Drosophila melanogaster: one gene and its partners. The gene in region 2 interacts genetically with the main gene of each other region. Each region holds a gene or a part of one and is shown on either strand. Other genes may lie near its edges. The genes, in order: Rel, ClC-b, PGRP-LE and Trpml.

Region 1 (6,174 bases), on a different chromosome or scaffold from region 2:
TAACTTATGGAATAGGTAATGGGTGATCAGAGGGGGCTGAACTCAAAGGCTTATCAGTGGGAGACGTTGGTGGCCCCCTGTGGAGCAAATTGACGTCACCGGCCAACAGAATCCAACTTAATCTCCGAGTGCAGTAATCGGAAATCAGATTTCGTCATCCGCCGCGTCGAAGAAAAACAAACTATTGAAAAATAACTCGTGTCGGAAATTTTAGAACAGCAAATATTCCCAACCAAAATCGTAATCATGTAACTGGTAATAAAAGCAACAAAAGTTGTTCTCCACGTCTTTAAGAATTTCCTAAATAAATATTTGTGCACACAAGGCGAACTTTTAAAAATTTTCATGTTGAGAAAATAAAATATGTTCAATATGTGTTTAGCTATTTTCCGCGTTGTTTCAAAATCGAAAATCCATATATGCACATATGTATTTGTTCCGTTTTAAGCCATATTTATATGCACACAGTTCAAAACTTTTATCGACAAGTGTTTAAAGCTTTTAAGTCGCGCTCGCTCGCACACGCATATTTAGTGCGCTGAACCGAAAAGCTTTTATCCAAAATATACAAACACGTGCGAGGCTCATTCAGTGATCTGTTTCGTTCTATACAGTCCATCGGTATCCGACAATCAGTGCAGTTCGAATTTTCCACCAGGAAAATTTCGCAAAAGCCAACAAAAGAAGTCACAATAAGGTATGCTGCTAGTGAAAATTGGCTAACAAAAATCCATAAAAAATACATAATTGACCTTCAAAGAAATTTGAATAGGCGTTCTTAAGACACGTTTGCTTTTATCAAGCCAAGAAAACGAATTTTCCTTTGTCCGCATAAAGAGCTAATTTTGTAGCCTGCCTATTAATAACTCTAGTCTAGACGCAGACTAGTGGTTGCAAAGTCAAGACCCCGATTTGTTTATGTTTTTCCTGCTAATTGATTATCAATATAAACAAACTCATCGTCAACTGATAAGGTGTAAAAGCATTTACACACACACACCCACACACCTTGGCATGGTAACAAGAGTAAGAGAGGAACGGCGAAGTGAGAAGATTGATTAACACATCAAAAAGTGCAAAGGGATCGTAAATACATACATATATACTCTAAGTGCAGCCTGGCAACAGATCAGCTGTTTCTGCGTGAGTGTGCGTGTGTGTGTGCGCGGGTCCAGTGGGAGTGGAAACCGACTGAATTGCAAATTAGTTCAGTGGCGCATGCTTATGTAGTTTTTTTTTATCATTTAGCACAAGTGTCTTAGGATAAAAGAACATTCCGGTGTTTTAAATTTTCCAACCATGTTGCGACGTTCTATAGGATCCATTTCGGTCTTGGCTTCCCGGAATTACGCCGGAAAGTCTAACTTCAGGTGTGTATGCTCATAAGAAAGTGAATCGGGTCCGAAATAAAACGTAATATCATACGAAGAAAAACAAAGCGTGCGCTAGAGATGAGTGCGTGACGAAAGTGAATTAAGGGAAAAGCCAATGGAAAGCGTAAAAATATATTATTAATAATACTAATATTCGGTACTTGCATTGCATAATTATTATTATTTTATAACACAGTTATAAGTTGTTACGCCGGTTCTCATTATAAATTTGTATTAAAATTCCTTATATCTTTATATTTATATAAGTGTTGTATTATTTATATTAATATTTTGTATTATATACCTTTATATCTTTTTGTCGAAATAGGTTAAATTATATTTATAAAAATTAATCAAGAATAATGGGAACAAACAATCGCGTACGCTTCCATCCCTAGATTTGTAGAACATCTGATTGGGGCGTTGCCACCCAACTCGTTTTATCTGCCGGTGGCAGCTCTGCCTTGTTTTTATTTTAGTGTGCGCGGTGTGTTGAAATCAGGTATTCAAATAAATGAATTTGAACCGTAGTTTCCGTGAAAAGCTGACCCGAAAGCTCGGCGCAAATAGCTTAAACCTGTTATCAGGGCAGCGAGCGTTTTGCTCGCAACTCGTGAGCGATACTACTTGTGTTCGCGCAGTGCTTCGTTCATTTTCGTTCCAGCAGTGGCGCACTAAAGTTCCCCGATTCGCTGCGTCGTTTTTCCATAAATTTGCATATATGTATTAGTTGGGTGGAATACATATAAACAGTGTGATTTCGCTCTGTAAACAACAACCGCGAATCCAGAATTCCGTACATGCTTATAGTATAGCCGATCAAAAAAATCACACTGAGTGGTGCGCCAGAAAAACCCGTGAGTCATCTCGACGTGGCCGCCGCAGATAATTTCCCATCCGCCGAACATCGGGGAAGTACCTAAAACGAATGGTCAGCCATCGGCGGAGCTCGTTTCGATCATTAGCGTTCCGATCGGCGAAGGCAGCGGATCACTTTTGAGTTGTTAAGACGCTATTGATCAGAAATATTGGATTGATACGGACTATGAACATGAATCAGTACTACGACCTGGACAATGGGAAAAATGTGATGTTTATGAACGATGCATCCAGCACCAGTGGCTATAGCAGCAGTACATCACCCAACTCCACCAACCGATCCTTTTCACCAGCCCACTCCCCGAAAACCATGGAACTGCAAACGGACTTCGCCAATCTTAATTTGCCCGGCGGCAATTCACCACACCAGCCGCCAATGGCAAACTCACCATACCAGAATCAGCTGTTGAACAACGGCGGAATTTGCCAATTGGGTGCTACCAATTTAATAAACTCCACTGGCGTTAGTTTCGGCGTTGCTAATGTCACCAGTTTTGGCAACATGTACATGGATCACCAGTACTTTGTGCCCGCTCCGGCCACTGTGCCACCGTCCCAAAACTTTGGATACCATCAAAATGGCCTGGCATCTGACGGCGATATCAAACACGTGCCGCAGCTGCGGATCGTTGAGCAACCGGTGGAGAAGTTCCGCTTTCGGTACAAGAGCGAGATGCATGGAACACATGGATCGCTAAATGGCGCCAATTCGAAGCGGACGCCCAAAACCTTCCCGGAGGTTACACTGTGCAACTACGATGGACCCGCCGTCATCCGGTGCAGTTTGTTCCAAACTAACTTGGACAGCCCACATTCCCATCAGCTGGTCGTGCGCAAGGACGATCGGGATGTGTGCGATCCGCATGATTTGCACGTGTCCAAGGAGCGCGGCTATGTGGCGCAATTTATCAACATGGGCATCATACACACCGCCAAGAAGTACATATTCGAGGAACTGTGCAAGAAGAAGCAGGATCGCCTGGTCTTTCAGATGAACCGCCGCGAGTTGTCCCACAAACAGCTACAGGAACTGCATCAGGAGACAGAGCGTGAGGCCAAGGACATGAACTTGAACCAGGTGGGTAAACCAGCGCGTAAACAATATCGAGTTGCTTGCTTCGATGAGGTGAATATGCACGTTTGCATTTATTATTCACACGTTTAATTGCTCACTTTAGAATGCTTTAGTCAATTAATTATAGGTTGCATTTGCTACCTTTTAATCTTTTTATTTAAGCAGTCTGTAAAGTATCTACTCGTTTAGCTCGAATTATATAAATTTCTCTGCTAAAATAACTGAGCAATATAACATCGAAGCAATTAACTTACTGAAAAGCAACAAAGAACTCACTAAAAAAGTAACACCAACTTTAGGTGCGGCTCTGCTTTGAGGCCTTTAAAATTGAGGACAACGGCGCATGGGTTCCACTTGCACCGCCTGTATACAGCAATGCAATCAATAACCGCAAGTCGGCACAAACTGGAGAGCTTCGCATCGTCCGCCTGAGCAAACCCACTGGCGGGGTGATGGGCAACGATGAGCTTATTCTACTGGTGGAAAAGGTCAGCAAGAAGAACATTAAAGTGAGGTTCTTCGAGGAGGATGAGGACGGGGAAACCGTGTGGGAGGCATACGCAAAGTTCCGCGAATCGGATGTACACCACCAATATGCCATTGTGTGCCAGACGCCTCCGTACAAAGATAAGGACGTGGACCGCGAGGTCAACGTGTACATCGAGCTCATTCGTCCCTCCGACGATGAGCGCTCATTCCCGGCGCTGCCCTTCCGCTACAAGCCACGGAGCGTAATTGTGTCGAGGAAACGCCGACGAACCGGGTCCTCTGCCAATAGCAGCAGTTCGGGAACAGAAAGCTCTAATAACTCGCTGGATCTGCCCAAAACGCTGGGCTTGGCGCAGCCACCAAATGGCTTGCCAAACCTTTCACAGCATGATCAGACTATAAGTGAGGAGTTCGGACGCGAAAAGCATCTAAATGAATTTATTGCTTCCGAAGATTTCCGCAAACTTATCGAGCACAACTCTTCTGATCTCGAGAAGATCTGCCAGTTAGACATGGGAGAGTTGCAGCACGATGGTCATAACCGGGCGGAAGTGCCATCGCATCGAAATCGTACAATTAAATGCTTGGATGACTTATTCGAAATTTACAAACAGGACCGCATATCGCCAATAAAAATCTCGCACCACAAAGTGGAGAAGTGGTTTATCGAGCATGCTCTGAATAACTACAATAGAGACACGCTCCTGCACGAAGTGATCAGCCACAAAAAGGACAAACTGAAGCTGGCCATCCAGACGATACAGGTGATGAACTACTTCAATCTGAAAGATGTGGTCAATAGCACTTTGAATGCGGACGGTGATAGTGCCCTGCATGTGGCGTGCCAGCAAGACCGAGCGCACTACATACGACCTTTGCTGGGTATGGGATGCAATCCAAATCTGAAGAATAATGCCGGAAATACCCCACTGCATGTGGCCGTCAAGGAGGAGCACTTAAGCTGCGTGGAAAGCTTCCTTAATGGAGTGCCAACCGTACAATTGGACCTCTCGCTAACGAACGACGATGGTCTGACGCCTTTGCACATGGCCATTCGACAGAACAAGTACGATGTGGCCAAGAAACTGATCAGCTATGATCGGACCTCGATTAGCGTGGCCAACACAATGGATGGTAATAATGCACTCCACATGGCAGTTCTGGAGCAAAGTGTGGAGCTATTGGTGCTCATTCTGGATGCCCAAAATGAAAACCTTACCGACATCCTGCAGGCACAAAATGCAGCCGGCCATACTCCCTTGGAATTGGCCGAACGCAAGGCAAATGACCGGGTGGTCCAGCTGCTGAAGAATGTGTATCCGGAGAAGGGAGAACTGGCCATGACCTGGATTCCATGTAAGGTCAAGGAGGAGATCGATTCATCGTCGGACGAAAGTAGCGATGCTGGTCAGCTGGAGATCAAGTCCGAGGAGATGGACATCGAAACAAAGGACGAGGATTCCGTGGAGTTGGACCTAAGTAGTGGTCCAAGAAGACAGAAAGATGAATCCAGTAGAGACACCGAAATGGACAACAACAAATTGCAGTTGCTGCTCAAAAACAAATTCATTTACGACCGGCTCTGTTCGCTGCTGAATCAGCCTTTGGGACATGGGTCCGATCCCCAAGATCGGAAATGGATGCAACTAGCCCGCCAGACGCATCTGAAGCAGTTCGCCTTTATATGGCTGGGCGCGGAGGATCTGTTGGATCACGTGAAAAGAAAAGGAGCCTCTGTAGAGTTTTCCACATTTGCTCGTGCCCTGCAGGCAGTGGATCCACAGGCTTACGCCCTACTGGTTAACCCAACTTGATTATGTATTGAATGTTGATCAATAAAGTACCTTAGTTTTACAAATACTATTCTCTTGTGGAATGAAAAATACGCGAAACTAGGATGCCTGGGATAGCAAGCTTTATTTTTAAATATCAGAGCATTAATTTATTTTCCTTTATTAGCATTTATTTAGTTTCCTTTATTATTCCATGGAATCTATTCTTTAGAATAGTTCTATAAGCAATCTAAACTTGTTCCCTCAAACAATTACCATCGGCGCCCTGCATGAGATCACTAGCAAAAGGGGATCCATCGATAGCTCGGCATTAAAAAGTACATTCTAAGAATGGGGAATCACTAATTTTTCATTGCCGCTCGCGCACGCCGCTTGGTAAACAAGTGGGTGAATCATACATGTACTTATGCGCCTAAGTGTGTGTTGTGGGGGAATTACTGTTGCGTAACTGCAGTGACAGGCGGGGATTTACCGACAGCCCTTATCATTCCCGGTTTATGACCTTTCCTGCTATATTTTTTCAAGAATATCGCAACTAAATAATGTTTTAAGGAATAGTACAGTG
Region 2 (5,593 bases):
GCGATCGACTGTTTAATGTCCGGCATGGCATTGGGCTCTGGAAATTGATTGATGAACGAAGGAAAGCTCTTTTTCATATTGTACAAAAAGTCATTTAATCTTAGGCGAAAGTGCTCCTAAATAAGAATTTTATAGTCTTACGTTGCATAAATTTTAGAATTAATTTTACGACGGCAGCGTCCTGTTTTATTGATGCGCTTTTAGAATTAAGATATAAAGTTTATACGCCTAGAGCCACATACACCTTAAACACAATCGCAAGACCACAATTTAAGTCACGGATATTTTTAACGATTTTGCACTAGAAACCGATCGAGACAGTTGTGCTAGTAACTAGGAACCAGAACACGTCTGTTTAGTGTTTTAAGATTTTTTAAAACCAAGCTCTTTTACTTTATCATAAGTGTAACGTATTTTTAATACAAAACAAACAAAACACCCACATACAAACCGTGTACAATTCCTTGTGAATACTATTGTTTATATATTTTACGCGTTTAAGGTTATTAAGTTAAATTGTAAAAATGTATTGCGCAGATATTAAAACAAAAGTTTATCAAAAGTGAATGGAAAATATTTAATTGATTAGACCCACTTTTGGCATTCGATAAATTTTCGTAAAAGTGCATTTAATGCAAAGTTACTTGTAAATAAAATCCCTTCTCGTTATAATGCCAGCAATGCGATTCTCATGGTTGATGACCAGCAAATGACGCAACCCCAATGCGCGGAATATCTGAAAAATTCTAGGCACCGAATCGTGCTAAGAAACAATTGGATAATCAAACAGTGCTTGGAGAAATTTCAAAAAATGTAACATTACTCACCGGATTGACTCGAATAGGTGATGGATTCATAAACATGGACAAGTCCACAGTGTAATTGATTTTCTCATCTAGCTTGCGAACACTCTGAAATAGGAAACTTGAAATATTTTCCTTAATAATGTTGTAATACAAATCAATACCTTGATTGATGGAAAACGGGGATAGAGGTCCCTGAATGTCTGAATTGAAGTTTCTGGCAGCCAGAATCGTTTGTTCTCCACATACAGGGATTTGAGCAAAATAACAATCAGTTGCGAGCGCAAGATGATGCCACAAACGCGACCCTCCGATCGACGATCCTGCAAGATTGGTAAAATACTAATAACATGGAGTTATGTGAAATTTCTTTGATCTTACTCCGCAAACATCATCGACCACCGGAAATCCGTTGTGGTCGCACTTCTTGAGCATCTCATATATGTAATTAGCGGAATCGCGGATCTTGATACAGATCACTGGTTTGCTTAGAATTTCGCGAGCTTTCAGACCCTTGTATTGCGGCAATGGCTCCCAGGTCAGCATGGGCACATGATTTACTTGGATCTGCGTATCGTAGATGCCCTCGTTGAAGTAGTCACCGACCCACTTGGCGCTGATAAGTGCAATGATAAGGGGAAAGAAGAAGGACGTCTCCACGCCAGTGGTTTCCATCAATATAACTGACAAGCTAATGGTCATTCGAAGCACTCCACCCAAGTTAGCTGCAGCTCCAATTAGGGCATATTTACCCGGATGCAGGAACTCCTGAAAATCATGGTTTAGTTTATGGAAAATGGTTTGGTTTACATTGCTTACCGCCTGTGGGAATACATAGTAGGTAAGCATGGCTAAAAGACGACCCCATGCTGCGCCGACCAGAGCAGTTGGGATGAAGACACCCAAGGACACATTGAGACCAAACGTAGCACAGGACAGCACATAGTAAACAACTGTGAAAAGGGCTAGCGTCAGAATCTTATGGGATCCTAAGAAACCAAAACAAAAATGATTAAAACTATAAGAGTATATTCTTAAAAATAACCACCTGGAGGATCGTGGAACAAGGATCTGACTGTAGCCTCTGGCGTTTGAAACCACAAGGCAGCCACGGCATTATATTCGTTGTCCTCGCAGAAAAGCTGTACAGGATTGTTGGTCGGATCGTTGCCCAGTGGACGACAATCGTTGATAAAGTAAATCATTAGACAAGCCAAAGTTACGCCCATCATTGCCACTACAACAGCTTCGAGAACCTTTCCGATTTTCCACGGAATAAAGCGCTTCCGAAATTTATTGATTTTGGTATTAAGAGAGTTCCAGGCGGCTCCGAGTAATCCACCAGTTACTCCCAGAATCATGAAGATGGGCAGCTCAAAGTAGTCGAATTTCAAAGGCGTATCAAACTTGCCCAAGTTGAAGAGACCCGTGAACGTGAAATCGTTTAGGCCATGGTAAGCTGATAAAACGATATTCAAGGTGAATACGCTGATAATGGAGGCCACTAAGGTGCGCCAAATGAGATTCTGGTTCCAGAAACTAGCCGCTTCCTCCAGAGAAAAAAGCATGCCTCCAATTGGAGCTCCAAAAGCAGCTGAAACTCCCGCGGCTCCGCCTCCAAGAACGAAATCTCTTTTCTCGTGATCATCCCGAAAAGCCTTGAATATGCGGAAATCTTTCAAAAACGTGGTGCTTTTGCCCTGCGAAATTCCGGCGGCGACGACAGCTCCAGCATGTATCATTGGACCCTCCTTTCCTCCGGCCAAACCACCCACCACCGAGGTTATAACTCCAATCGCCTTCACAGCCAGCGTTTTAATTCTTACAATACGCGGTATTTTGACGCCGTTCAGGTAGCTCTTCACCTGTGGAATCCCACTGCCAGCGGTTATGGGCTCAATGTAGGTGACCATGGCTGCTCCAAAGGCCACGGGCACAATGCTGAAGAGGAGCCAGTAAAGGTAGGGAATCAGCAGATCTCTATCGGAAGCATCGCTTAAGGGTACATTTTCCTTAACAGCTGCAAGTGAAACATTTAGTATGCATTAATAAATGTTCACAACTTAATTTTCCATGAAATAAATTTAGCAAAAGGAAAACTAAAACATACAATTGTAGAGGAAGGTGTACTTTCGTATCGAGAGCTCTTCGATTATAATATCTATGGTGCAAGCTATCAGTGCGGTGATAATGCCAATCTGTATAAAAATGATCCATCTTATGATGTCCTTGCGCAGGGAGAATCGCTCTGTCAGCCTCTTTCGCTGCTCATCCTGGAAGAGCGTGTTCTCGCATACTTCGTAGTCCAAGCTCTGTAAGTGCATAAGTTTTTGATAATCGTATCGGTCAAGCTCCACACCCTATGTGTACATATGTACGAGTATGTATGTACGTACCTCGTAATTGGGCGTGGATGCGGCTGCTGTTCGGGATCTGAGGTGGAAAATGGGTTCGCTGCTGTTGATGTTCCTATTCGGGCTGCCTGCACTTCCATTAATTGGCTTATAAACAAAGCGCATAAGGAAATAAAATTAATATGAGTGTTTAGAGATAAGCCCGCTCAAAAACCGAAGCGGTGATTCATTCTAATTTAGTTTACCTTAGTTACATGGTTGGATACTCACAATATCGGGAGGCACTGAATTGTTGCCCATTAGCAGTGGCTGAGAATCATCCAATAAGTGGTTATTCCCCGAAAGCGTCGCTCTTCTAGCTAAAGCACTAGTGGAGGGCTCTTCTCTTTGGTGGAGTCCGAAATCCTGCACAGCTTTGGAAGTTGGACCTGCCTCCTTTTGGAGTATGATTGGATCATCCTCAGCGCTTGATTCGCCATCGAGGGTAATCAGTGCCTTCCTATCGTCCATTATTTAAAACAATAATAACACAAGTGACCGACAACAAACAATAAAAAGCAACAGAACAAAAGCCGAATGAGAGTATGGTTACTCGTGGGCCATTGAGAAATACCAAAATCTCGATTATTCGGCAACTTAGTATTTTATGGAGGGCTTTTTTCGCAGATAATCTCGAAAGCGAATCTTTAAAGATACTTTATTGAAAAAAGCAAAATATAACCATTCTTTAGTGGTCCTAAATCGAAAACTTCTGTAGATTCTTTAATTTTAGAAATATATTTAGGACAGCCTTAGTCTTTTATCAATGCATTGTTTTTGAACGTTTTGCCATTTGGTTTGGATTCAGAATCTGGCGCGGAGTCTAGTTGGTTTCCTTATTGAGCCTCTTACAGATTCGGCTCAAACTGAAAATTCGGATTTAGAAACTTGAACTTGGCTGCCTCCAACAACATGCGGTTGTGCTCGATGCGGTTGCGGCAGTGCAACTCCTGACTTATTTGGGCCATCGAGCGCTCCAGGCGCTGCAGCACATCTCGCTGAGGATGCTCCAAGAAGTGGGCCATGGATAGCGATTGTGAGAGGGCCTGGGAGCGTGAGTACTCCATGGAGACGTCCTCCATCGATGAAGCCAGCGATCCACTGGATTTACTCTCGCCCTGCACTGGTGGAACCTGGCTCAAATCTATGGCAGCCGGCTGATCAGCCAGGAATGACGGACCACTACCCTGCTCAGGCTTGACAGGACGACCCAGAAAGGAGACACTGGCAGGAGTCGAACCGCCGGGCAGTGTTTCCACCGAGATGTTTGAGACCTGAAAAAATACATGTAAATAGGCTTCATTAAATATTGAAATATGTTCAAAACTTGATATTTAAAATATGATCTACAAAATATATATGTATATTTATTTGCGAATAAAGGAAACTTACGTTCTGAACGACAATTCCCAAGTTCTTAGGGATATTTGGTAGATTAGCTTTATCTGAAGTGGAATCTTCGAGCTGGAAAAAAACGGAGATATCAAGCTCACCAATACATGTCACAACAATACATTAAGCTATTTCGCTATCCGAACAGATACAGTATTCGATTCTAACGGTAAAAGGCAAGGTGAGAGATGTCGACATCTCGCTTCTGCCCACCCAAAACATACCTTGCGGGTAGCTCCCTCCTGCTCTTGCTTGTGGCGCTGAAAAACCGTTTTGATTTTCAGCTCGTGGCTTTCGTTTCCAGACGGAACAGCAGCTTGCATGTCCACGAACACCCCGGAATCGCTCTGCGCAGCTGTACTTGTGGCTGCAACCGCAACTGGTGCCTTCTTGCGCGACTTGGCAAAGCGTCGGTTTTTCATGATCCGATCACGGCGTTCTTCCAGTGCAGCCACCTTCATTTCATGGAGTTTGCCCAACAAGGAACTATGACGTCTCTGCGCACGGGGATTGCCAAAATAAAACCACGTTAATAACTTTCATTTACCCCTAGCAAATGGGTGGAATCCCTACCTTGATGTGCATGTGAAAGTTCCCGGTGGAGCGGACACTGCCGCGATAAATCCGATCCGGCGGACAGTAGCAGCACTTGACCGTAACATTGTCGCCCACCTGCTTCTCGATGCGATACAGTTCCCCGTTCAGGATGTACGGCACATGCTTTTTCAGCTCCATCTTTTCTTCAGAACCGTCCAAGTTTACGGACATTTTTCAGTTTCATAAATGGGAATGAACCTGCTAGCTTTCGAGAACGAAGGGAATAGGAGGAATGTCAAAGCAGAGGAAGATACAGATTCTCTCCTCGCAGGAATAGGAAGAAAATGGAATGAAAGAGAGAACTAGGCAAAAGCAACGGTTCTTGACTAACCGAAGATAGACAAAAAGAATAGAAAAAGGCCCCTTTGTACGTTTAAAGTTGGCAACATTATTAGTGTTAAAAAATTG
Region 3 (4,886 bases), on a different chromosome or scaffold from region 2:
CAGAATCGCGCTTACCAGAACCTTCCGAGAGTGAAATTAGTCCAATTAACACTGAGTCGCCCGGCAACACCGAAGAATTGCCCTGGTGCAATATTTGTAACGAAGACGCCGACTTCCGATGCCACGGATGTGGTGGGGAACTCTTTTGCACTCTATGCTATAAGGAGTGCCACGATGATGACGAGGAGTACCGTGCTCACGTTAAGGAAAAGTATTCGGCTCCGCCAAAGCTTAAAGAAAATCACTTCTAATTGTTAATTGTTTACTTGACTGTACGCAAATTTTTGTTTAATTATAGATTGTTTTCAGCAAATGCATTACTATTGTCTGTATTTATGTGGTGCTAGCTCGCTCATATTTGTGCAGTATAATTGTTGCTTCTCTTTCAGTTGTGAATTAAAACAGGTAGGCGATGTTGGTTCCGAAACATCTTGTGGTTTTTCCACCTTTCAGCGCTGCAAAAACTATACCAAAATATAAAGTAACTTAACGAAACTGCCAGTAGCTGGAAAATTTATAAACAGGTGATTTAATGTTCAACATTATAAACGTAACTCGGGTGCATTTAAGTCTAAGTATGTGAAATGGTGCTCTTCTTTTGTCCCTCATTGTTCCTCCTCCTCGATATTGTAAAAGTGGGGCCATGTCTGTATCTCCTCGTACAATCGCCGACCAGGACTCTCCGTCGAATTGCACTGGCAGTGACAAATTAATCTATAGTCGGTGGATATGTGACCATCCTCAACGCCGCGGGCCAACAGATTGCGGCACATATTCAAGGCGTCTGCCGTCGGGAGTTCTTTCATGAAGCATCCAATGAAACTGATCCCCAGCGAGATCCTGTTGTAACCCAGAGTGTGGGCGCCCACCGTTTTCCATCCGCGTCCCTCGTAGATGTTGCCATCGCAGCCGACCAGGAAGTTGTACGCAATGTCATTCCATCCCCGCGACTCAATGTGGAAGCACTGAAATATATATACATAATTATTATATAGTTCGGAGCATATATGATTTAATTTCGCTAACGAAATACTTACCTGCATGTCACGGATAAGTCTTACGTTGATCGCCCGCTTTTCTGAACTCTCTGTAGCTGTGTGTACTGCGTGGTAAAACAATATTTGTTAATCAAGGTTTTAAATATATTCGAAAAGAGTTATAATACGATATAATCTTAGGTTAGTGAGTGCTAAGCATGATGGTCAGATCAAATAGTATAAATTGTTTTAATTATTGCGTCATACTTTTACAGACAACTTGATTTATAATCAGTTGGCAAAAAAATGGTTAAAACGTGCAGCAAACTTGAATACTCACAGATAACCACATATTTAACAGGCAGTTGCAAGGGCAGTGGCTCGTCCATGGGCTTCTGTGCTAGCCACGAAGAGCGCGGAATGATGGCGGACAGCTCCTTGGGTATTTTGAATTCTGTAAGTGAAATCGGTATCCTATGGTTAACGTGTATGCATCCCCTGGTGAATGATAGCTTACTCTGGCGCCTGATGAACACATCCGAGCGCACCCTCTCCTCCGACTCGTCCTGATAGTCGTCTTCGAAATGTGTCGGAGTTTTGGGAGCGTTATCTCTCGGTGGTGAAACATGCCGCCGATCTCTTCGGTTTTGAGTAAGGCCATCGGCTATGATTTGTATATTTCCATTAATATTGGTAACATTGCCGATATGGACGTTCGTGGAGTTGCTTATATTAACGTTGCCCAAAGTCTGAATGCTGTTGATCGAGTTCATAAGGTCCCTTATGGTGTCGCTGATGATCGAATGCTTTTTGGTAGCTTTAAGGTGGGGATATATTGAAAGTGTTATAAATTGAATATAGAAACTTGATCTTGAGTACTACGCACCGATTTGAGTGCCTAGTGTCATAGTGCTGATTTCTTCACTGGTATTTTGGTCGGCATCCTCCTCTTCCTCGGTATAATCGTAGTCCAAGCTGTCCACAACCGAGGACTCTGCAATGGACTCCAGTTCCTCGTCCTCCTGACTAGCCAACCATTCGCGAGTCCGCTCCTGGCTCAACTTTTTGATTCCCGATTCGGACATGTCCGTAGTTTTGGCTTCTGTTTGCTGCCAATAAATGCGCGTGTATCTCTCGGCTGGCCCTTACTTTGTTTATCAATATTGTGAGTTAGAACTGCTCTATTCTCTGATTAGTGTTCGTGTCGTGTCCACCTTACACGATAAGATAAGGACGTTCCACAGGCTATCCACCATTATATGCGCAGGTGCCGTGGTGAAATGCTTTTTTGCATATCAGTCCACTTGGGGCTTTTTTTTTGCATATTTAGTCATGTGTATTAATTATTGTCATGGATATCGAGGATCAGTCTAGATATCGATAAGTATTATCGATGTTCGCATTTAGAACAATTCCACTGCCTTTGAAGGGAGCTTAGCGGTATCGTACATACAGTGGGCCGCATCCACTAGTTGAGTTTCAGATTTCGATAAGTATTTGATTAACCATATAAAGCTTACAAAAATTTAAATACGAACAAAAAAAAATAGTTTAAATTATCCCTCTTTAACCGTTTTGGACATATATTTCTGTATACATATATATATTGTTCTATGAAAATATATAAATATATATAAATAAATAAATAAGTAAATAAATATATATAAATAAATAAATATAATATATATAAATATATAAACATACAAATGCTTTGTCCAGATCCGAAAACCCCTTATCACTGGCTAAAATATAACCAGTTTGGTTCACCAATCAAATCGACTGGAGGTACAATGCACCCAGTGCTGGAAAAGATGAGCTTTCCAACACTCTTGCCTATATTGGGCTTTAATGCTAAGCAGTTAACTGCAACACTGCACCGTGTTTGATAATAAACCTGTAGAGGCAGGTGATTACACCCAAGTCAGCCCATCTTTAAGCATTAGTCATGGGGCTAGAGGTACTCAGATAAACCACCAAAACCTAATTCATGCGCTGTAAACATTCACTCGACCACTCTCGCGTATGCGCTGTTCTTCCCTCCAAGTCTCTCAATTACTTTCTTTATTTTTATATTTAGTTACTGCTGGCTATTCAAGCCAACCAAAGAGCTACCACAACACGGATTTAATAGTCACTTAGAGCCATTAAAAGAGAATAAACTAAAATGTAACCAACTTATAAACTAATTTTATACATTGCTTAAGCGATAGTTTGACGTATAAAACTGAGGAGCTTATATTTATTACTTTTGACTGCACAGTGGAATGCATTCAAAGGTCTGTTTATGTTTTTGTTCCGGTGTGACCGTATTCCGAACAGGAACACAGTCTAATTTAAAAGTTAAATTAAAAGCATATCAAAAAGTGAAATAAACTTTTTAAATATCTTCGCTAATTGGACAAACAGCTTAAATATATTGTAATCAACAGATAACCTAATCAAATATACCAAAATAGGCATTTTTTAGTGGAGTTCAAAAAAGGGCGGCAATCACCTTCAGCTGAATCAGCTGTCAAATAAAGTGAAGCTTTGGTATTAAAGCTTTTAACATAATTTAGGGGAAGAGAAAACATAAAAATGTATGAAAATGAAAGAGAAAAACGGATTCTCTTTATGTAAAATCTTAGAATTAACGCTCTCTTAGGTTCCACAATTGGTTCCGATTGGAACCGCGCACAAAGAGAGCGAGGAAGAGAGCGAGAGAGTTTCGAGTCGAATTGGAATGGCCAGAAAAATATATTTCTGCTTTCAGTTTCGAAAAATTTTTCGATGGAAGCAGCCGAGTGCGAATGCGAATGCTCAATGAGAAGAGCTTTTACTGTTTTACTTTTTGCCTGAAATACATTTTGAGATAATTTCTTATTGGTAGTTCTGTTTATGCCATCGCTTGCGTCTGTCTGTGTTATTTCGATTGCGAGAGCTAGTTAACATTAGTTAAAATTAAAACAAACGCCAGCCATAAGATATAATCGAATTGCGGTTTTTTCTTCTCGTACCGAATTTCCATCCACATCCGCATCCACCATCCGCCATCCGCCAAACCCATCCCGTTCCGTTTGTTCGTCGCTATCCGTCGGATATGTTGTTCTATCGGTGTACCGTACAAGTACAAGTTCGTACCCAGTCCAAAGCCAAACAGATTGCGCCGTGTGCCGGTAAAAATAAGCGCAAAGTTTGAGAAAAACCATCAACATCAGATGATGTGCCCTGGAGGAAAAAACGTCGCGGATTTAATGAAATCTTAAATAATGGGTTCGCTTTAGCACAATTCGACGTTGCATTCGGCCAGCGGTGTGTTGTGTAAACAAAGTTGTAGTTATAGTTTTAGTTTAATTAGCTTCGCATAAGCTGCAACCGGATCTGAAACAGACCGTGGAAACAAAAAAATAATAATAATAATAATAATAATAATAATTGCATTTCATGTATGCCAGTGTAAATTTGCGTTCGTGTGTGCTAAGTTTACATATAGAGAGCGTGGAGTGGATTGGGATTGGATAGTGTTGGATTGGATAGTATCCCTATCCGATTCGCGCCGTTATTGTTAATGCGCAGGTAATTCGGAGCGCTTTTCGGCCATTCTGCCCAATACCAATATTTTGTTCTACATCGTGTTTTTATTTTTATTTTTTTTCCAACATTTTTTTTGCTGTGCTGTGCAGTGCTGTATGCGTTTATTTGACAGCTTATGAATCACCCACAAAGATTTATTTGTGCTGATTGCAGCACAACTGTTGCACCCCATTCAAAAAAAAAACAAATAAATAAATTAATAATCACAAAAAACACCCGCACATCGTCTTCGGGAAAACTACTGAAGCGAGTTGGGCCAGCAAAAAAAAAAAAAATACGTATAAATACAAATAAACAAATAATACCCAAGCCATTGTTCCCCCTCCTTAACGATTA
Region 4 (6,146 bases), on a different chromosome or scaffold from region 2:
TTGGCTTGGACGGTTTCCGCTTCAACGAAGACGCACAGCATCTGCCTGATGAAATTTACGTCAATTGGAGAACCAGTTTTCCATTTCATTAAAATTTGCTCATCTCGTTTCGGCGAATTCTTGCAAAACATTCAATGAAATTCACGCTTAAAACCGCAAAAATTTAACATCGGCCAAATTATTAAATGTCCAATTACTGTGAAACCATTTATTCCTTTCCCTTTTATTGGGTTTTCTTTTCTTGCAATGCAATTATCCGATTGTAGAAATGTTTCGCTTGGTTTCTTGACACTTATTATGTTGACTGTTTTGGATGTATCCTTACCACAAAATAATTTAACGATTGTCTTCCTGGTCAAAACATTAAAACATTGCGCCACCTACATCTGAAGATAAAAGTAGACTTCATTGTTCCTCGTTTTGGTTAAGCTCACAATTAATTATTTTTGTTGTACACATTTTTGTTGCATATCGTTGTAATAAATTTTGGTTCAAAGTGCAATTTGTTCAATTCAATCGTTCTATAAACAGTTTATTGTGTTTGTGGTTTTTGGTTATAAATACAAAGTTTTCATTGTACACATAAAATATAGTTACCTAATGTTTCCTTATCTATGGCTTCTGAAATTGACACAAGTCGACAAAAATCGATGTTGTGTTATGCCGAACTAAACACTTTCTAAAATAACTATTTGCTTAGACTGCCAAAAATCTCATTTTGTCGACCAGTGCAGTTTTATACAATTTTTTGCTGTGACTTTCAGATTTCTATGAAAACTCGATTCGGATGCATTCGTTTTCATGGAAGATCTTGACCAGGCCCATGTCGATATCGCTAACAAAAATAGCTCCCTCTAATATAATTTCCATTGTTCTCCGATTCTGGTTCCACATTATATCACACACTTAATATCTCGCGTTACAAAAACAAATTTGCGACTTTGTGGTTTCCCAGCGTACAGCGTTGCTTGGTGCCCTTTCTTAGTCATTTTTCGGATTTTACTTTCGCAGAAATGACACAAATTCGCCTTACATTTAGTTTTTCCTTTTGGTCTTATACATTTTGTAATTTTTGTATTGAAGAAAAATGAATTTCAGTCAGAATTATATTTCTGCAAACCGAATTAAAGCCATTGCTGCGAAAGATAAAATCGGAACATGCCCGCTGTTTGTGATCAGAGCAGCTGCTTTTGGAATTTCTCATAGGTACGTACGTTATGGTTTCTCTTATCTCGGTTCAAGTGCTTTGGCAAATTAACAAACTAATACAAAAAGCTAACAACAAGTTTGACTACACACATAAAGCTGACAAAACAAAACAAAATGAAGACCTGCGGGTCGACATAGCGCACCCAGTTACTTCATAATACTAGAAAGGCTGGTGTAACCACTGTTGGGCTGGGCGGGCTCCTGATGCCGACCGCACCGTCCACAGCAGCAAATGCTCTTCACCACGTCAAGGAAGCTCGTCTGGTCGAAGTCGTCCAGGTCGGTCATGAAGACACCAGAACTAATGTCCTCTGCAGTGCGCGTTCCGACAAATGCCTTGAGATCGGTGGTGGGAAAGCCATCCTTGTAATACGCCTTTATCGTGTCGTAGGCATCCATTATGACGGCAATGAACAGCGACAGGACCACATAAATGTACAAGGATATGAACGAGTACAAGTAGATCTGGCAGAACCACCACAGCCAGGTGGCCTTGCTGGAAAGCGTGGCAAAGGTGGCGAACATATCATCACCGTTTATCAGCGCAAACAAGCACTCTGACGTTGTAGCCAGCGATCGGAACTTCATGTGATAGGGTCCCAAGATCAGCCAGCCGCAAAACACAAATCCAGCATAGATCAGCAAGGCGGCGATAAGGAAGCGCAGAATCTTTGGTGCCGCCTTTTTCAGCGTCAGTATCACAACGTTGTAGGTTTTGAAGAAGCCGAGGTAGCGCAGCACTCCGAACCAAACAAGCAGGTTGCCAATTCCCAGAAAAAGCGAGCAGGTATCCCATTGGTCCACCACCAAGTACCTTCCCTCGATTTGCTCTTTTAGAGCTGATCCAATGATCAAAAGGACGTCATTGAAAATGATCATGATGTACCTGCGAAAGCAAAACGGTTTATTATAGTCTGCAACCTTTCTGATAATTTTTGGGTTTACGTCGGCCTAACCTTCAGCATTATGGGTAATACTTGTTGCCAATATAGCCGAGGTTTTTATAACACAAAACAAAGGACTCACCAAAAGTTAACGAATTCCAGTCGGCCGTCAAAGCTCAGCTCCTTGCCGAATTGCGAACGGAAAAAGTTGACAGTTGTACATCTCAGCAGATATGCTCTCCACAGAGCCCTTGTACAGAGTGCAAAGGATAGTGCGCATGTTAGTAGGACGAATATATTAAGTACGCTTCGCAGCATGGAATCGAAATTGGCGTCTGATATGAAGTCCGTTGCTCCGTGGCACTTCAGCCGCGTCGCCTCCGCATCCAGTGAGAGCAGCATTTGCCCGTCATGGTCTCGGTTGTTAAACGTTATGGAAATGTCAAACCGAAAACAATCAGGAGCAGAAAGAGGTCCACCATTTGCCTTGAAATTAACCGTCTTTATCTTGAACGTCAACTGTGCGGAGACAAGAGATGCAAAATTGACCTCCACATCGCGCTGCCTGAGGTAATTCTCCACCCCAATGGTGGTTACGTTCGGAGGTAGTCGCTCACACACCTCGTCGATATGTGGATCGAAAATGTAGGACTCATTAAAGCCAAATATGGTGCCCTCTCTATAGTTCTGCAGGCAAAGCTTTAGTGGCGGCATTGTGTTATTGGGCGTCGGGTAGTCGTATGGTCCAATAGATCGGCTTACATTCGCGTAGCCATTGACTGCATACTGCACAGTGTCGAAGAACTCCGATTTGAGGTATAGAGCAAAGGGACCCACAGCAGGCGGATAACTCTCCACCTCCCGGGAAGAATCCCAGCCGCGCAGGAATAGATGTGAGAAGGCAAATCGGTTATCACCCGTGTAGTTGATGTGGTTATACCGCGAGTGGGCAAAAAGGCACAATTGCATCGTCACCAGAAAGATTTTTACAATCTAAGAGAAAAATTCTTGAGTTGCTAAGAAATGTTTATAGTATAACTTTTAAAGTTTCTATTTGCCTTTTGGCCTCAGGGGACGGACCTTTTCTTGGTCGCCAGTTCAGAGATCTAGAGGCTGGGCTATAAATAGAAGCCGAATTATGTTAGAGCATGCGTCAGACTATATTTATTGGGTATCTACAGGAAATCTAATTTAGTTGTAGACCTTAGAGACTAAGTGTAGACTTAAAGACTAGTCATAACATTTTCGCATTAATCATTAAAAATCGCACAAAAGAAATCCCCCTGACCACGATGTTTATCGCATATTAAATAACTTTTTGGGTTCTACAAAAGCGTCCACACGCAGTTTCTAGCCATAAAATTCTTGAATTTTCACTTTGTTTATTACGTATTGTGCTAACAATAGTTGGACCTATCAGATAAGGCATCGATAAGAGTGGAGGGGCTTAACAATGCAAGCAAAGTAATCAAGACTGTGTTGACTCTACCCCATTTTACATGCTCGAAATCTAGACAAACATTGAAGATCGGAGACGGCTGTTTAAAGGCGTCTGTAAATTAAGAGAAATGCCTAAATAAGTGGTTCAGATGTGTCACCCGAGTTCCGCCCCCAAACGCCGCGCATCACACGACTTCAATTAACTAGCATTCATCCAGATGTGAACTGCAAATGAAACCCGGATGTGAACTCACCTGCACAACGAACTTGTACGGAAATTTCCGCTTGGCCTGCCATTTCTCAATGGGGTTCATAAAGAAGAACTGAAGCTTCCTGCGCATTCGCTCCTCCTGGTAAGATGCAGCCGAGGATCCGGGGAATTCGGGCTGCTCCTCGCGGCCATCCACGGAGGGTGGGGCAGTGCCACTACCGGCGGATATGGGCATGGGCACCACCGGGGCCACCGGAGTGGACTGCAGCTGCACTTGGCGCCGCAGTATCCTGGTGTTCACGTACTCCTCGTCGCTCTCCGGCGACTGCTGCTGTTGCTGGGCAGCCTCGTAGCTGTCCGTGCGGCGCTTGACGGCCGGAGCTGTCTGGGCTCCGGGGCCGTAGCTCTGCATCTCGATGTGCTCCTCCTTCGTTGCGAGGTCAAGTCACCTGCGTTGTTGTTCTCCGTGCTAACTTTCTTTTGCCCGCCCAGTCGACATGCAAAAGAAGAATCCGCACAGGCGCAACAAGCAATCGGGGGAGGGGAGGTAAATATGTGTTCTTTTGCAATTAATACGCGACTTTTGCCAGCGAATTTATATTAAATACTGGCCAAAAGACCACGAAAATTGCTTTGTTTTCAATAGGTTTAAACGATTACAGATGTTTATTCGATATAATCGACTGTTCCAAATAGAGTTCAGCATCGATAGTTGCTTGCAATCATCGATTATTTAAATCGCGCGCCTTTTCATCGGTAGTCAAAATTCAAGTGCAGCACGGTGAAACATGAAACATGGAGAACTTTCCTATTTATTTATTTTTTTCCGTTATTTGGAGGTGAATTCCAAAAAAAATTAAATAATGTTAAGAAAGAAAAGATCTAACTATCTATGTACGAGTTCAGTTTATAGAACTCAGCTCTAAATATCGAAAAAATAATTAATTAAAAACTTCCCCGTATTCCAAATTCCGCCGTTCCTCTAACGCAGCTAACTCATCGACGCTACATGGACGTACATTCAAAATTATATTGAGGTCCATCCATTTATTATTCTTTTATGTTCAAGAAATATGACTATTTCCTTTTTTTATATTTTTGAATTTATGAGAAATCAACTTTATTTTGCGGTCTTGAAAACTGCTACCTCATTTTTGACATTGTATTTTACATTAAACATACGTACGTACTTACATATGTCAACATCTGTCACTAATGCTTAGTTATCTTATTAAATTGAAGTTAAAAAATAAACTAAAAGCGTAAAATAATACATAATCATTTGGAGCAAATATAATACTCACAGGAAAAAACAAATGTTTTCTTTCTGCCCAAGAAGAACTCTTGATAAAACCCACGAAGTCTTCCCATACGTTTCACTGTTCCCAGTGCATAAACATTTCAAAAGGAGTTCCAATAAACTAAAAGCGTAAAATAATACATAATCATTTGGAGCAAATATAATACTCACAGGAAAAAACAAATGTTTTCTTTCTGCCCAAGAAGAACTCTTGATAAAACCCACGAAGTCTTCCCATACGTTTCACTGTTCCCAGTGCATAAACATTTCAAAAGGAGTTCCAATGAATCGATGGCTTTAGTTGCAAGAACTTACAGAGATCTTATCGTGAGATCACACTTACAGTGATCTCTTATATGCTTAACATGTTTTTTTGTATTCACCACGACTTCAGAAATGTTTGTCGAAACACAAAACACAACTGTTCCCAGTGCTCGGAATATTTTAAAAATGTTTCTTTTAGAAGAAGTGTTCTCCAAGTTTCTAGTCTTTCCCGCAGGATTCACCCTCGTATCTACCATCTATTGAACATTTTGCACCATTTAAGCATATCTGGACAAACACACTTTTAATAGTTTCTCGTTTGTATTTATATATGGCAAATTTAACAAATTTTCATTTAAAAATATACATACATACATACATACAGCTAAAACACCTCTCATCGGGCGCATTTTCGCTCTTCTCTGCTCACAATTCGCGTTCAATTAATTATAATTATTATTTTAGCTTTAGAGACTTAAATATTACGTACAATCACACGCACTTAACTACGTACTAGCAAAACACATTGATACATTACATTTTTCACGCTCGTTTTGATTTTCAAATACATAAATTAACTAGTTTCTGTTTAAGCATAATTTGTTTGCTGCTGCGCATCGTGTATGGAAAGCAGAAAATTTCGATTACATTTACATAAAATATTTGATTTTGATTCTCCATCGTCGTATAAATATGTGTGTCGTTGTGTTTATGTGTTACATTTACAAACGTACATTTAGATGTGTGGGTGTGTGTTTATTTTATATAAAACAATAACTAGTCTGAAGACCTTGTGACTAGACGGTTTTTTCGGCTTCTCTAATATGTATGTATGTAG

The links.
Region 1: of ClC-b (region 2) and Rel, changing one suppresses a phenotype caused by changing the other (phenotypic suppression), as found in Drosophila melanogaster (one study listed by BioGRID).
Region 3: of ClC-b (region 2) and PGRP-LE, changing one suppresses a phenotype caused by changing the other (phenotypic suppression), as found in Drosophila melanogaster (one study listed by BioGRID).
Region 4: of ClC-b (region 2) and Trpml, changing one suppresses a phenotype caused by changing the other (phenotypic suppression), as found in Drosophila melanogaster (one study listed by BioGRID).

The regions. Positions count from the first base shown.
Region 1 is NT_033777.3:9,043,680-9,049,853, reverse strand, and holds Rel (relish), read left to right. Parts: upstream 1-1,876; 5' UTR 1,877-2,418; coding exon 2,419-3,330; intron 3,331-3,626; coding exon 3,627-5,630; 3' UTR 5,631-5,671; downstream 5,672-6,174. UniProt on the Drosophila melanogaster protein: Transcription factor that plays a key role in the humoral immune response as part of the peptidoglycan recognition protein (IMD) signaling pathway.
Region 2 is NT_033778.4:12,570,212-12,575,804, reverse strand, and holds ClC-b (chloride channel-b), read right to left. Parts: upstream 3,738-5,593; 5' UTR 3,668-3,737; coding exon 3,428-3,667; intron 3,305-3,427; coding exon 3,200-3,304; intron 3,116-3,199; coding exon 2,914-3,115; intron 2,824-2,913; coding exon 1,852-2,823; intron 1,793-1,851; coding exon 1,623-1,792; intron 1,572-1,622; coding exon 1,185-1,571; intron 1,127-1,184; coding exon 968-1,126; intron 912-967; coding exon 828-911; intron 764-827; coding exon 641-763; 3' UTR 506-640; downstream 1-505. Other genes in the region: stil (stand still), read right to left, coding at 4,045-4,470, 4,589-4,660, 4,813-5,085, 5,162-5,356.
Region 3 is NC_004354.4:15,800,646-15,805,531, forward strand, and holds PGRP-LE (peptidoglycan recognition protein LE), read right to left. Parts: upstream 3,236-4,886; 5' UTR 2,682-3,235; intron 2,446-2,681; 5' UTR 2,063-2,445; coding exon 1,864-2,062; intron 1,795-1,863; coding exon 1,495-1,794; intron 1,432-1,494; coding exon 1,318-1,431; intron 1,103-1,317; coding exon 1,038-1,102; intron 966-1,037; coding exon 606-965; 3' UTR 508-605; downstream 1-507. Other genes in the region: CG15602 (uncharacterized protein), read left to right, coding at 1-251. UniProt on the Drosophila melanogaster protein: Peptidoglycan-recognition protein that plays a key role in innate immunity by binding to murein peptidoglycans (PGN) of Gram-negative bacteria and activating the imd/Relish pathway. Has no activity against on Gram-positive bacteria.
Region 4 is NT_037436.4:19,713,913-19,720,058, forward strand, and holds Trpml (transient receptor potential cation channel, mucolipin), read right to left. Parts: upstream 4,417-6,146; 5' UTR 4,157-4,416; coding exon 3,788-4,156; intron 3,087-3,787; coding exon 2,236-3,086; intron 2,096-2,235; coding exon 1,357-2,095; 3' UTR 506-1,356; downstream 1-505.